Linked DNA regions of Drosophila melanogaster. The protein of the gene in region 2 purifies or fractionates together with the protein of the main gene of each other region. This does not show direct contact. Each region holds a gene or a part of one and is shown on either strand. Other genes may lie near its edges.

Evidence for each region. The genes of interacting proteins can lie anywhere in the genome.
Region 1: the proteins of AhcyL1 (region 2) and grsm purify together in Drosophila melanogaster (affinity purification with mass spectrometry, with the first as the bait; one large-scale study listed by BioGRID). This does not show direct contact.

Annotation. Positions count from the first base shown.
Region 1 is NT_033777.3:12,964,713-12,969,655, reverse strand, and holds the start of grsm (granny smith), read left to right. Parts: upstream 1-1,943; 5' UTR 1,944-2,055; coding exon 2,056-2,202; intron 2,203-2,277; coding exon 2,278-2,496; intron 2,497-2,907; exon of another isoform or gene 2,908-3,053; coding exon of another isoform or gene 3,054-3,103; intron 3,104-3,179; coding exon of another isoform or gene 3,180-3,627; exon of another isoform or gene 3,628-3,718; intron 3,719-3,732; exon of another isoform or gene 3,733-3,883; coding exon of another isoform or gene 3,884-4,213; intron 4,214-4,279; coding exon of another isoform or gene 4,280-4,943. Other genes in the region: CG7381 (uncharacterized protein), read left to right, coding at 1-25, 116-235, 306-425, 489-893, 963-1,094, 1,159-1,311, 1,373-1,473; CG14384 (uncharacterized protein), read left to right, coding at 3,054-3,103, 3,180-3,627; Cyp304a1 (cytochrome P450 304a1), read right to left, coding at 3,884-4,213, 4,280-4,943.
Region 2 is NT_037436.4:2,767,003-2,774,885, reverse strand, and holds AhcyL1 (adenosylhomocysteinase like 1), read left to right. Parts: upstream 1-2,560; 5' UTR 2,561-3,096; coding exon 3,097-3,618; intron 3,619-4,394; coding exon 4,395-4,844; intron 4,845-4,908; coding exon 4,909-5,502; 3' UTR 5,503-6,420; downstream 6,421-7,883. Other genes in the region: Atg2 (Autophagy-related 2), read right to left, coding at 1-193; CG12093 (uncharacterized protein), read left to right, coding at 984-1,487, 1,582-1,781, 1,840-2,278; Non2 (putative nucleolar protein 2), read right to left, coding at 6,884-7,618. UniProt on the Drosophila melanogaster protein: Might play a role in the regulation of methionine metabolism possibly by binding and inactivating Ahcy.

The DNA of each region.
Region 1 (4,943 bases), on a different chromosome or scaffold from region 2:
GACGACGATGCCGATGAGAAGAAGTGTGAGTATCCAAGAATGCCCCCAAAAAAATGAAGTCTCTCAATGCTTAGGCAATCTTAAATATATTTCAACTATTTTTTTTCCCATTTAGATGGCAGCAGCTGCACGGATAATGGAAAGACATGCTCGGGTCTGCCGCACTCGATTTGTTCCAAGAATATTTGCCTATGTCGCCAGGGTTACTATGCCCGCAATGGAAAATGTTTTGCCGGTGAGTAAACTGGGTTTCCCCCAATTTAATTCTTCTATTAATGAAATTAACTGAAATGAAAATTCTTTAGAACTGGGGGAAATTGCGGAGAGCACGGATGAGTGCGAGTACGAGTTCGATCAGTTGACCAAAACTTGCAATTGCCAAAAGAATTATTTCTACGAGCGGGATCTGCGCAATTGCAGAAAACGTAGGTGGTTCCAACGCTAGCTGCTGAATCGCACTTAAGATATATCCTTTTCCATCAAAACAGCCATTCAATACCACTTATCCTGCACCTCGAACAGCCAATGCAGTCCATTTGGCGCCTCCTATTGCCACCCGGAGATTCCGAGGAGGTGCACCTGCGAGGAGTACGCTCTCTACGATGCCATCAAGCAGCTCTGCGAATACAAACGTGGCCTGGGAGCCGAGTGTGAGTCGAACGATGGCTGTCCTGTGGATCACTCCGTCTGCTCCAATCGCGTGTGCGTTTGTGCGGACAACTACTTTGAGAAGGACGATCAGTGTATGCGTGGCATCGGTGCCGACTGCTCGGTGGAGGATGACTGCATACCTGAGAACACCGAATGCCAGGAGAAGGACGAGGAGGATCAGTCGCGCACCTGCCAGTGCCGAAAGGGATACGTGCACTTTAAGGATGAGTGCCTAAAAGAGGGTTAGTACTCAGAAGCTGAAATGCAAAGCAGCAAAATTATGCCCTGCCCCACATTACATTTCATTATAGCCGAGGAGCTGGAGGACGAGTGCGTCGAGGATGAGCAGTGCAAGCCGCTCCTGGCGAGCTGCAATTCGGAGGGCAAGTGTGGATGCAACGATGAGCAGCATGCTAAGAACGGAGTCTGTGAGACGAAGCGAGGTAATTGAGTCGCTAAGCTTTCTTTAATTATTTGTAATAATTCTAATATGTTGCAATCTTGCAGAGCTGGGAGAGTCGTGCACCAAGGCCACCGAGTGCTATGTAGAAAAGGATCCCGAGAATGTCGAGTGCCGCAACTCCGTGTGCCAGTGCAAGCTGGGCTACTCGGCGAACGCCAATCAGAATCAATGCATTCGCGTGATGCCCAATAAGAAAAGTAAGTGTCCTTGCAAAACCAATTGAGTAAGGATGATCTATGAATGTCACGCTTTTCGCAGATTCTTCCGGTAGACCAAGTGCTCTCAAAATCATCACCTTCATGCTGATTGGCTCCGCTTTCCTTATCACCAGTGCGGCCATAAAGCAGGCCTACTACTAGAACCAAACCAAAACCTAAATCCTTTCACCTGCGTGTTTGGGGAATGGCGAGGATAATCGAGGGAGGAGTTGGCCAAGGACCTTGGGGGGATCGGGGTGATTTGGGGATCGGCGGGAGTGGCCAGTATTAGCCAAGTTACTGGCATGGATGCAGGTCCATGCGCAACGTGAATATAAATCAATTAGTTCGTAAGTTGATATTTAGGAGTCGAAGCAATATAAATTTGGAGAAAGGGTCCTCGGAACGGAACGACTCTCGCTTATCTAATACGGCTAAGTGTAATGACAAATTATCTGTAAGTTTTGAAGTTAAACCGCTTGTTGCTAGGCTAAGCGAACAGTTTTTAACCAAATTGTAATATATACATCATAATAAACTAAGGCCAACGAAGAGTTGTGTATCAAATCCAGAAACTGGCAATTATTATTAAACAAGTAGTTTTGAGATTTCACTTCTATCAGTTAGCAACAGCAACTCAACTCAAATTTGTACCTTTCAATTTTTCAAGCTCGAATGTTTTGTACGTAATTCTTAGTTTAGCATCCTAAATTTCAGTACGTTAGTTGAAAAGTATAAGTAGAGATGGCACCGTATCCAAACGGCTTTTTAAGTTACGCGGTGGCTATACATCTTAAATCCCCGCACCTCCAAATGGAGGAGTCACTGCGTCAGGGAGCGGGGTACTGGAATGCATTGAGTTCGCGAGAAAAGAATCAGTATCGATCGAAAGTAAGTTCCTAGGGATTACACACTTTCCCCCTGACCGGCGAACTTTATCTTCTGCCCTTCGTTAATACCCTGCAGTACCAGAAACGGTGTCTCAGCAAAAGCTCCACTTCGCGTCATCGGCGTCAATCGGAGAAACTCAAACATATGGGATGCGGCCGCAAGAAAATAGTGCCCAAGTGTTCCCGAAAGCCCACGACTCCGGCCTGCAAGCCAAGGAGCGTCAATAGGTGTCCCCGGAAAAGCAGCTCCAACCGCTCGAGTCGTGAATGCATGCTGATGAAGTCACCAAAAGGCGTAAGTGCCAGTAGTTTAAATAATATTAACATTTATTTTATTATTTATAAAAGTTACTTTTAAGTAAGATATATTTTCATGTGTATGTCAACTTCACTTGTTTTGATAGTGAATTTTAAACACTGGGTTCATAGCGAACAAGTTGTCGTTTTCGTAACCAAACAATTATCACCTTGTTTTCAACTCTATTTTCTATTTTTTTTGTTGCCACTCAATTGTCTTAATATTGATAAGGGCATTTTGGTCAAAGTGTTTGCACATTATCTTGCAGTTTGCTATTTTATTTTTGTTATCAGCTCGGCTAGTAAAACAATCTGCAGTAATTTGACTGTATCTTTTGATTTATATTCGATTTGCGACCCATTTAAAATGGAGATTAAAATCTAGGGACCTTGAATTTCTGTATTTCAGAAGCTCATATTTGCATTCGAATCGAAGAGAACAGTAAAACAGTGTCAAATATTTCTGGGTGAACTTTCCGAGTACAAATAGGTCAAAGTTGATTTTGTCGTAAGACAATTGCTAAACTGAACTGCCTATAAATTTCAAGTCTCAAAATGTCCCTCAATTGCCCGGTTCATAATAAGAACTCCAGTGGCTTAAACATGTAAGTTTCGGCCAAGAGATCGCTTTCGATATCCGGCGTATGTGTTCCTTGTGGTAACAATGTGGTTTGCATACAGTACCAGGTCCGCAACCTCGGATGACGTCAAGATCGCCATGTGCGCCTGCTTGGAATTGGCCAACTGTCGGGCCGAAAACTGTCAGCTGAAGAAGAAACTGACCGAATATGAGGCCAAGATCTGCAGTCTCGAACAACTGGTGGCCACCATTGCGGAGGAGCAGAACCAGATTCGCCAAGAAGTGATCGAGTTGCGCAATGAGACTCAGGGTGCAACGATGGAAGCCGCCAACGAGGTGGATCCTTTGGACAACTCATTCGTGAACCCGCAAGAGGAAATGGACGATGAGGAAGGATACGATCCGGATTCAGAATCCGAGTACAATGCTATCCAGTCCCCCAATCCCTCAATACATTCTTCGATGGTCTCGCTGGTTCGCTCATTGAGTTTTTCATCCACCAGCTCAGATTCTGATTGCATTGTATACAGCGATAATGAGGATTTCTAAGAAACCCATCTCATTCCAATCGCATCTTCTCAACAAGTTCCGTTCGCGAACTTTGATACCACACGATATGAGTAAACGACAATGTTAAAATAAATAGTTCGTTGTGGTGCATCACATAATAGTATTGGGCAATTCTAGAATATTTTTGAAATGTGACGGAATAAAATTCCTCAAAAAATATCCAAGCAAACTAGCTAACGTAATCAGTAAAATTACTTTGTCTTAAAAATAGATAACTCTAATATCTTGGCTACTTTCAATGCCGATCCTGTAGTTGCAGCCAGAAATCTGGTGGCGAAATAATCAGTCCATTGAGGTTCTGGGAGAGATCGGGCAACCGATCATTGGGGCCCAGGACGAAGTCAAAGTGCTGGCACATGGTCGCTGTCACCAGGAAGAGCATGTTGCGCGCAAATGTCTCGCCGGCACAGAGCCGTTTTCCCGCTCCAAAGGGCAGCGAGACATCCAGTTTCAGGCAGAGCTTGCCATCCGCGTCCAGGAATCTCTCCGGCCGGAACTGCTCCGGATCCGACCAAATACGGGCGTCCGAGTGGAAGGCATACAGGCTGGGCACGACAATGGTGTCCTGTACGGGTATATAGGGGAAAATAGTTTGGTTTTTAAAATTAAATAGATAGGAAACTTTTCTAACCTTGGGTATCCGGTAGCCCAGCAATTCGGTGTCCTCCAGCGCCTTGTGCGGGACATCCGAGGGAACCAGCGTCTCGATGCGCAGACCTTCGCGAATGGTGGCCTCCGTGAAGGGCAAGTTCTTGCGATCCTCCAGGTTGGGCAATCGTCCGCATCCCACCACCTCGTCGATCTCGTTCTGAACCCGCCGCAGAACTGCCGGATATAGCATGAGATACTGGACGAGTAGCGATAGCTGCACTCCGATGGCAGTGAAGGCCGGAAAGGAGAAGTCCACCAGGCCCATGATCAATTGATCCCGATTGAAACCGTAGCCCGGACCTCGGCGCATTTCAGCTATGTAGACATCCATGAAGTTGCGCTCCACACCCTCTTCGTAGCTGTCCAAATACTTATCCACAAAGTCGGCAAAGAACTGCCGCACGAATAGGTTGGACTCGTTTAGCTTGTTGTAGCCACTCCATTCGGGCCAAATGTGCCGAATCCACGGTATAATGCTCAACATTTTGCCGTAGTCGTCCGCATTCCGCTGGAACTGTATGCCCATCTGGCAGAGCTTCACCAATTTGCCCATTTCCTCGCGACTCAGGCACTCATTGTAGACAATGTAAAAGTGAGCGTTGGCCGAGAAGGGATTAAAGAGCAGCGGCAGAAGCACGCGATAT
Region 2 (7,883 bases):
CCTGGTCCTCGAAGAGATCGTTGAAGGCGTTGACCTTTAGGAAAATGTCCTCCACCACAGCCTTGCCATTGTAAAGGTCCACCTTCAGCTGCTCCAGGTTCAAGTTATTCTCGAAAAACTGGCCCAGGTATCGCTGCAGCAGGTAGCGACACATTTTCGTTTTGAGGCCATCCCAGGGATTGAACCACGACATCGCGACTGGGTTGTTGGCCTAACTTTCCACGTTCGCCTTCTTTGTGCGTTTTAAAATTTTATGCGAGTTGTTTTTCCAGCGCAGCAGCAGCGACAGCAACAACAACACCCCTTTGTTATTGTTTTCTGGGTGGCGAATCACGGAAACGGAAGGGAATTGAGGCTTAAATTGTTGATAAGACTCTGGTAAAAACGCTTACCACTCACATTTTTCGATTAGCGGGGGCGCAGAGCGGCTGTGGGCGGGTATATATGTGCATTATTTTGGAAAATAATGAATTAATAAAGCGCAGTAGCAAGTGACCATCAAGTTGGCCCTTGTTCTTCTTCTTTTTGTAGCTGCGACCAGTGTGGCCAGGTGTGGGCACTTCGTAAAATACCCCCTGGTGTGTGCAATGCGGGGGAGCGTTCGCAGGGGGCATTTGAAAATAAAATGATTTATTATTATGAGCCGATTTCTGGTGAGTAATTTGTCATTTAACCTTAGAATCCAGTCTGAATATTTCAAATATACATTGATTTCCTTTTAAATCTGCTTGATTTAAGTAGTCATTTTAAATTAACTTTATTTACTTTAATTTGGCGTAAATAATTTTAATTTAGTTATTAAAACAACACATAATTATCATCGGAGATTTATGCAAACTCCAAACAACCTGTTGCTACCCTGCAACAAAGTCATGCTTTGACCAGTGTTGAAAAACGCAGCTCCACAGCTGTTTTGCCAAGTTCTTAATTATATTTTTGTTTGCTTATTTTGCGCTTTTGTTTTTCTTTTGCTTGCAATTATTATGTTTATTTGGCATTACTTGACCCTCTTGTGCCTTGGGTTCGCCCTCATCGATGCGAAATCCATCAAGAAGTCGCAGGCCAATCTGTTGGAGCCAACTCTTGATCCTGATGAGAAGCTAGGGAAGATTGGGAAGTCCCCACCCGACATTTCCAATGATGTGCAACGTGTGCAGGTTCCATTAGGTGCGACGCCCGGCAAGAATGGCTGGCAGGGCAAGTGGTTTCCCCATGCCCCTGGACAACAGCAGGAAGCGATTGAATTAAAAATGAAGAGCACCACGGAGGAAGTTCCTCCGCTGGAGTTCACAACCAAGGATGGCTGGCAGGGCAAGTGGTTTCCACAAGCTCCCGGAGAGCCGCACTTGGTGAAGAAAAAACCGCTGGTCGATAACAAAACCAAGTCGGGGAAGTCCACCACACAGGATACTTGGCAGGGTAAATTGTTTCCGCAGGGTCCCAATGAATCGCACAAGACTAAACAAAGCAGCTGTGATGATGGCAAGGTGAGTTTGGCAATATAACTAATACTTCCCCTAAATACCGATGAATGCTTAGTATTAGTCATCTTTTTCTATCATTGTTATTAACAATTTTCAGAGCAATCTTGCCGTGGACTTCGATCCAAACGACATCCGTGACAGCCTGAATTTCCTATGCATCAGTAGTAATCACAGCTTGTACCAACCGGATTTGTCCAGAGAAGCCATTCTTACGGAGCACTTTCTACCTAGCGCCTATCTGCCGCCTGCCAAGTGCCTTAATGAGTCCATTAGCTACTCCCATCTGCCTGCCACCAAGTAAGGCGAACAATATTATAGTTTCCTGCTAATTTCAAATTCAAATCTGTATTATCAGTGGCCCCTATCGCCCGATGCCCGCTGAATATGGCACCTATTCCTACTTGCCTCCTCAGCGATACGTGCGTAATCTGGCGGAAGGTGCCATCGTAATGCTCTACCATCCCTGCGCTTTTCCCGGCCAAGTGAAGCAGCTGCAAGACATCGTGGGTGGCTGTCTGTATCGCCATCTGGTGTCACCCTCGCTGGCTCTGAGTCCGCAGCGACCGCTGGCCCTGCTCGCCTGGAGTCGCAGCCTCGAGATGTCCGTCGTGGATCGACAACTGGCGGCGGACTTCATCCAGAAACACGCCAAGCAAGGACCACTTGCACCGGAGGAATTGTCGCGTTTGATTGTCAAGAGACAGACCTACAAGGAGGGCCTTCTTAGGGAAGCGCACTTGGTCAACACGGCGGACGACTACGAGCTGTGCGGCTACCTACAGGAGGATATGTAGGCCAAATGTGTTAACTATTTGTTTTTAATAAACCTCGAATACTTTGCCAATTTCTTTTTGACTCATTAAATTATCCAGCTACCAGATTTAAAAGACTTGCAGCTGAGGAGTTGTAAATCACACTTTATTTACTTTGCTCATTAAAAAATAAACACATAATTAATGGTAAGAAATTATAAAAATTAATTTTTAGACGATTTCAGTTAAAAAGTCGTTACTTTGGCCTTTCTTCAGTGGGAACTTACCACACTTGCAGAATAGCACTAACGCCTTCTGCTTTTGGTATTTTCGCGTGTCTCGCTTACTGTCCTCGGTTCGGTTTAGTTCTCTTTTCTCCGGATAAAATCAAATTCAATAAGCGATCGCCAAACGATCCCCCACTTGGTCGCCACACAAACAACGTCGCCCGAAAGCCGACGGCTGCATCATCATCCCCTCTCCGGAAACTCCCATCAAGCCCCGGATCCAAAGTGTAGCCCCCCATTCGCAAAAGAAGAAGAAGAACAAAAACAATAGTGGAGAGGTGAAACAAAGGAGACTCGCACTAAAAACAATTAATTTAGCAATTTGTGGTCTCCACAACGTCGATAAATCACGTGATTGTGCAGTTCGTATAGACCCAGGCCACACCACTAGCCATTTGCAGCGCATCCTGCTTGGATTTCAGACTTTACATAACATCCAAGGCGCCCATTCAAAGGAGCAGCGGAAAAGGATTGCAAGCTCTGGAGTCGCAGAAGGTGGAACACTAGGAGCTAGAGCAAGGAGCCAATTTAAGGGATAGTAAGGAAATCCCCAGATTACCCTCTACTTCCACCATGAACAACCTGGCAGACACTGTGGTAGTTGATCCTGGATTCGGAGGCGGCGACAAGCAGCAGCAGGCTGGACCGGCGCCGCAGGATGCCAGCGTGGTGGTTCCTCCGCCGGCCACCAAGCAGTCCTCGGCTCTGAAGAAGACAAGTCGGTACAGGAGCCGCTCGCTTAGTGCCTCCTCAACGGATTCCTTCAGCTCCGCCAGCTACACGGGCAGCAGCGAGGATGGCGACGACGTGCCGCCCAGGGAGAAGGTCCAAAAGAACTCCAAAGGCAGCTCCGATTTCTGTGTAAGGAACATAGGCGCCCAGCATGCATTTGGGCGCAGGGAGATCGAGATTGCGGAGCAGGAGATGCCGGGCATCATAGCGCTGAAGAAGCGGGCGGCCGAGGACAAGCCTCTGAAGGATGCCAAGATCGTGGGTTGCACACACATCAACGCCCAGACTGCCGTGCTCATCGAGACGCTGGTGGAACTGGGCGCCAGCGTGCGCTGGGCCGCCTGCAACATCTACTCCACGCAGGTGAGATGTCGTATGAAAATGTCATAGGGTTCTTACGTATTCATAGGCTGCTTAATGCATTTAATGGAATCTCTTAAGAGATATCTTAACTCATTTTCCTATATTTATTTAAATTCATATGCATATGCGTGCTCGGTCACTTGATCTGCTCGGTCGCTTGGAGACAATTGTTGTCACGCCAGGCGACGCAAACAAATGATCAATCAAGCCATGTTAATCAATTAAGCGCCCGCGGCTCAAGTGTTTGGCAATCGCTGAGTAATTGATGTGCCCTGAATTGGGTCGCCATACCATTGGGAGTGGAAGTTACGGACGCAGTTTTAGTTCCAGCATTGGATCGGCTGCGGTTACTCGATCTGTTTGCCTATTCCTGCGGCGTGGCTGATGCAATTATCACGAGTCTGCTGACGCTAAACAATTTATGGCTTCTCTAATGAAGCGATGCGAGTGCGAGGGCGAGCGCCCTTCCCCGATCATTTATGCACCCATCCGTGCCAGCTTTTATCGCCCACGGCCCCCGACAGCCTGTCACGCTGATTCACCTGTATCGGCTGGGACTTATCAGCCAAGCTACGAGTGCCGTGCTTAGCGAGAATGGAGCCCGATGCGTTATCAGCTCGATATAAGTCAGATATTAGCAAATGTTTACGCCGCATTAGGGTGACTCGATTTATCAGGCCAACTCTCGAGGGTTTTACCTGTTTGACAATCATTTTATTAGCCTTCAAGGACTGTCATTATTAAAACAACTCAATATCGTTGCTTATTATTTTTAGAACGAAGTGGCTGCTGCTTTGGCCGAATCCGGAATCCCGATCTTTGCCTGGCGCGGCGAGACGGAAGAGGACTTCTGGTGGTGCATAGATCGCTGCGTTAACGCCGAGAACTGGCAGCCAAACATGATCCTGGACGATGGCGGCGATGCCACGCACTTGATGCTAAAAAAGTACCCGACCATGTTCAAGTTGGTCAAGGGAATCGTCGAGGAGAGCGTCACCGGAGTGCACCGTCTCTATCAGCTCTCTAAGGCCGGCAAGCTGACAGTGCCGGCGATGAATGTCAACGATTCGGTGACAAAGACCAAATTTGACAACCTCTACAGCTGCAAGGAATCCATCCTGGACAGCCTCAAGCGCTCCACGGACGTGATGTTCGGTGGCAAGCAGGTCGTGGTCTGTGGCTACGGCGATGTGGGCAAGGGATGTGCTCAGGCTCTAAAGGGGCAGGTAAATGGCACCCACAACCATTAGTATGATATACCTTTGTCACCTTTTCAATCTCCAATCGTAGGGCTGCATTGTGTACATCACAGAGATCGATCCCATTTGCGCCCTGCAGGCCAGTATGGATGGCTTCCGTGTGGTCAAGCTGAACGAGGTGATCCGCAACGTAGACATTGTGGTGACGGCGACCGGCAACAAGAACGTGGTGGTGCGCGAGCACATGGACAAGATGAAGAGTGGCTGCATCGTATGCAACATGGGCCACTCGAACACGGAAATCGATGTGAATGGCCTGCGCACACCGGACTTGACCTGGGAGAAGGTGCGCTCCCAGGTGGATCACATTATCTGGCCGGAGGGCAAGTACATCATTCTTCTGGCCGAGGGCAGGCTGGTCAATCTGAGCTGCTCCAGCATCCCCTCGTTCGCCGTGTCTATCACCTCGGCCACCCAGGCCCTGGCCCTGATCGAGCTTTTCAATGCCCCGCCCGGACGCTACAAGTCGGATGTCTACTTGCTGCCCAAGAAGATGGACGAGTATGTTGCCAGCCTGCACCTGCCCACCTTCGATGCCCATTTGACGGAGCTGAGCGACGAGCAGGCCAAGTACATGGGACTGAACAAGGCCGGTCCTTTCAAGCCCAACTACTACCGCTACTAGGACGCAAGGCGGGCGGATGCGGACAATAACACCAGCAATTAGAAGAAACAACAACGCCAACGAAAGTATTGTCTTTGCGAAGAAGTAAAACTATTTAAAACAATTGTTGACACACACACACACGGAAAACACAAAAGGATACGGAAAGGAGAACACAAAGTTACTATTACCATTGTATTGCTTAGTTTAGCTCGAGCGGAATTCTTGGTTGCTTTTCGTTAGCATTTAAAGTCTTCGACATAGTATTTAGCACTCGCTTTAGCCGCAGGAGTATTCTCTCCGTTCACCTATCCAACATGACTCTCTAATCCCCAAAACTAATCTTGCCCCAAGAATTTATCCCCATCAACATTTTTTGTAGCCAGTTACTTGAATTTATTTTAAATACTTCGAACGCCTGTCAATCAGACTGCAGTAGCTCAAAAGACGCGATTAGTTCTCTAAATGTATACTTCTAATTCGGAATTGATAATATATTTAATGGGAATTGACTTGTATAATGGTTTCTAGCATATTTGCATTACATTTCTATAACTTTTTCGCGTGAAATCCATGTACATTTTAATGTTAACGACTTTCCTGACTAATCCCTTTTTTGAGCTACGACAGCTGGGCAATAAGTGATCGATTTAACCTCTCGTATTGTTTACGTACTTAATTTGTTAATGTTTATGGCCCCCGCTTATGATTATGATTATACTTTTGTACTTTCGTTTCGTCCCGAGAGCGTTAATGGAACAGCAGTGCAAGGTATTCCATTTATTCAATTATATACACGCTGGCATATATATCAGATCGAGAATTATATATATATATACACTGCATATACACCTAATATGTATATTAGAAAAAGTGAAAAATGTTTGTAAGAAATTTGTGAGAAACGCAAAACAATAAAAAAGGGATTCTTTATTGAGCAATTAGATCTGTTCCACTGATTGATTTCTCCCCCAGCAGCCCCGTCGAAATGAAAACCAGGAAAAGTTGCTTTCGTATTTTTCAGATGCATCACTCGTCTATTTCTCTTTTTATTACTCGGTACTTGCCTTAAACTTGTTATGTTTTTCTTTGATATTTTATAAAATGTAAACTACACGAGTTTGTCATAAAAAAAATCATACACATTATGTATTATAATCGATTTTTTTTTTGTAATTTTCCGTTCATCTGAACTATTCCTAAAATGCCGTAAAGTGCATAATGTGCAAACCCGTCCTAATTAGGGTAATGCTAAACACATGCGTCAACTAAATCTTAATCAAAGGTTGTGGAACAAACAAATCCAGGCGGAGCCGAAAGTTACAGGGGATTGGTAAACCAGGCTGGCGGAGAGGCATACACATATATTTGCATCTGGAGAGGATCGGAGGGCGGATCTGATCTAATCGAGAAAGTGCGGCTTGAGATGCTTCAGCATGCCAAAGGTGCGGAAGCGGCGGATCTTCATCACCTTCATCAGCTCGTCGTCGCAAATGGCGAACTGCTTGTTCTTGGGGTCGTACAAATCGCGCTCCTTGATGATGGCCCACACCTTCTTCACGACTTCGTGGCGCGGCAGGGAGGACTCTCCCATGAGGGCGCTCAGTTCCGGTGATAGATTGTATGCGCGTGTGAAGCCGGTGCTCTTACGTCCCGATCCTGTTCCCCCGGCCGCCTTGGCCTTCTTCTTGGCCGCCGGCTTCTTGACCACCTCGTAGTCCGAGTCCGAGCCGGCATCGCTCTCGGTGCCGGAATCGTCGGCATTTAGGGTCTTGCGCTTCTTCTTGGGCGCCTTGTGCTTCGTGGGCTGTGGCCTCTTCTTGGGGCTCTGCTTCTTCTTCTTGGCGGCCTCCTCCTCGCTGCTGCTGGGGTCCTCCTCCTCGCTGGGCTCGCTCTCATCGTCGGGATCGGCATCGGGATCCTTGCCCTCGTCATCGTCTTCGTCCTCCTCGTCCTGCTGCTCGTTGATCACCTCCATCACGATCTTGTCGAACTCCTTCTTGCGGCTCAGCAACGAGCAGTTCAGCTTTCCCTCCACCTGCTCGCGCACCCTCTTTGCCGAAATGGTCGCCAAATCGGCGTCCTTCAGAACCGCCTGAATTTCACGACGCAGGTCCTCGCTGGAGATGTCCGACATCTTGGTTCGTGGTGTTCCTCGTTTTCCTGCGCTACACGTAGGGGTTTCAGCCTGCGGGTCACATTGTGGGCATTTTCAGTTATTCCATTGTACGCACAACCTAATCCCAGTCATTTTCAACTTACCGGAGATCCGTTTTCGGTGGTATATTCACGTTTTTCCGGATTCTTTGCGGCGCTTAAAAAGACAAATCTTTTTCGTTTTTTCTTTACACCAAGTCCCGGCGTCTCTATAGGGTTGCTACTTGATGAGAGCTCCTATCGGT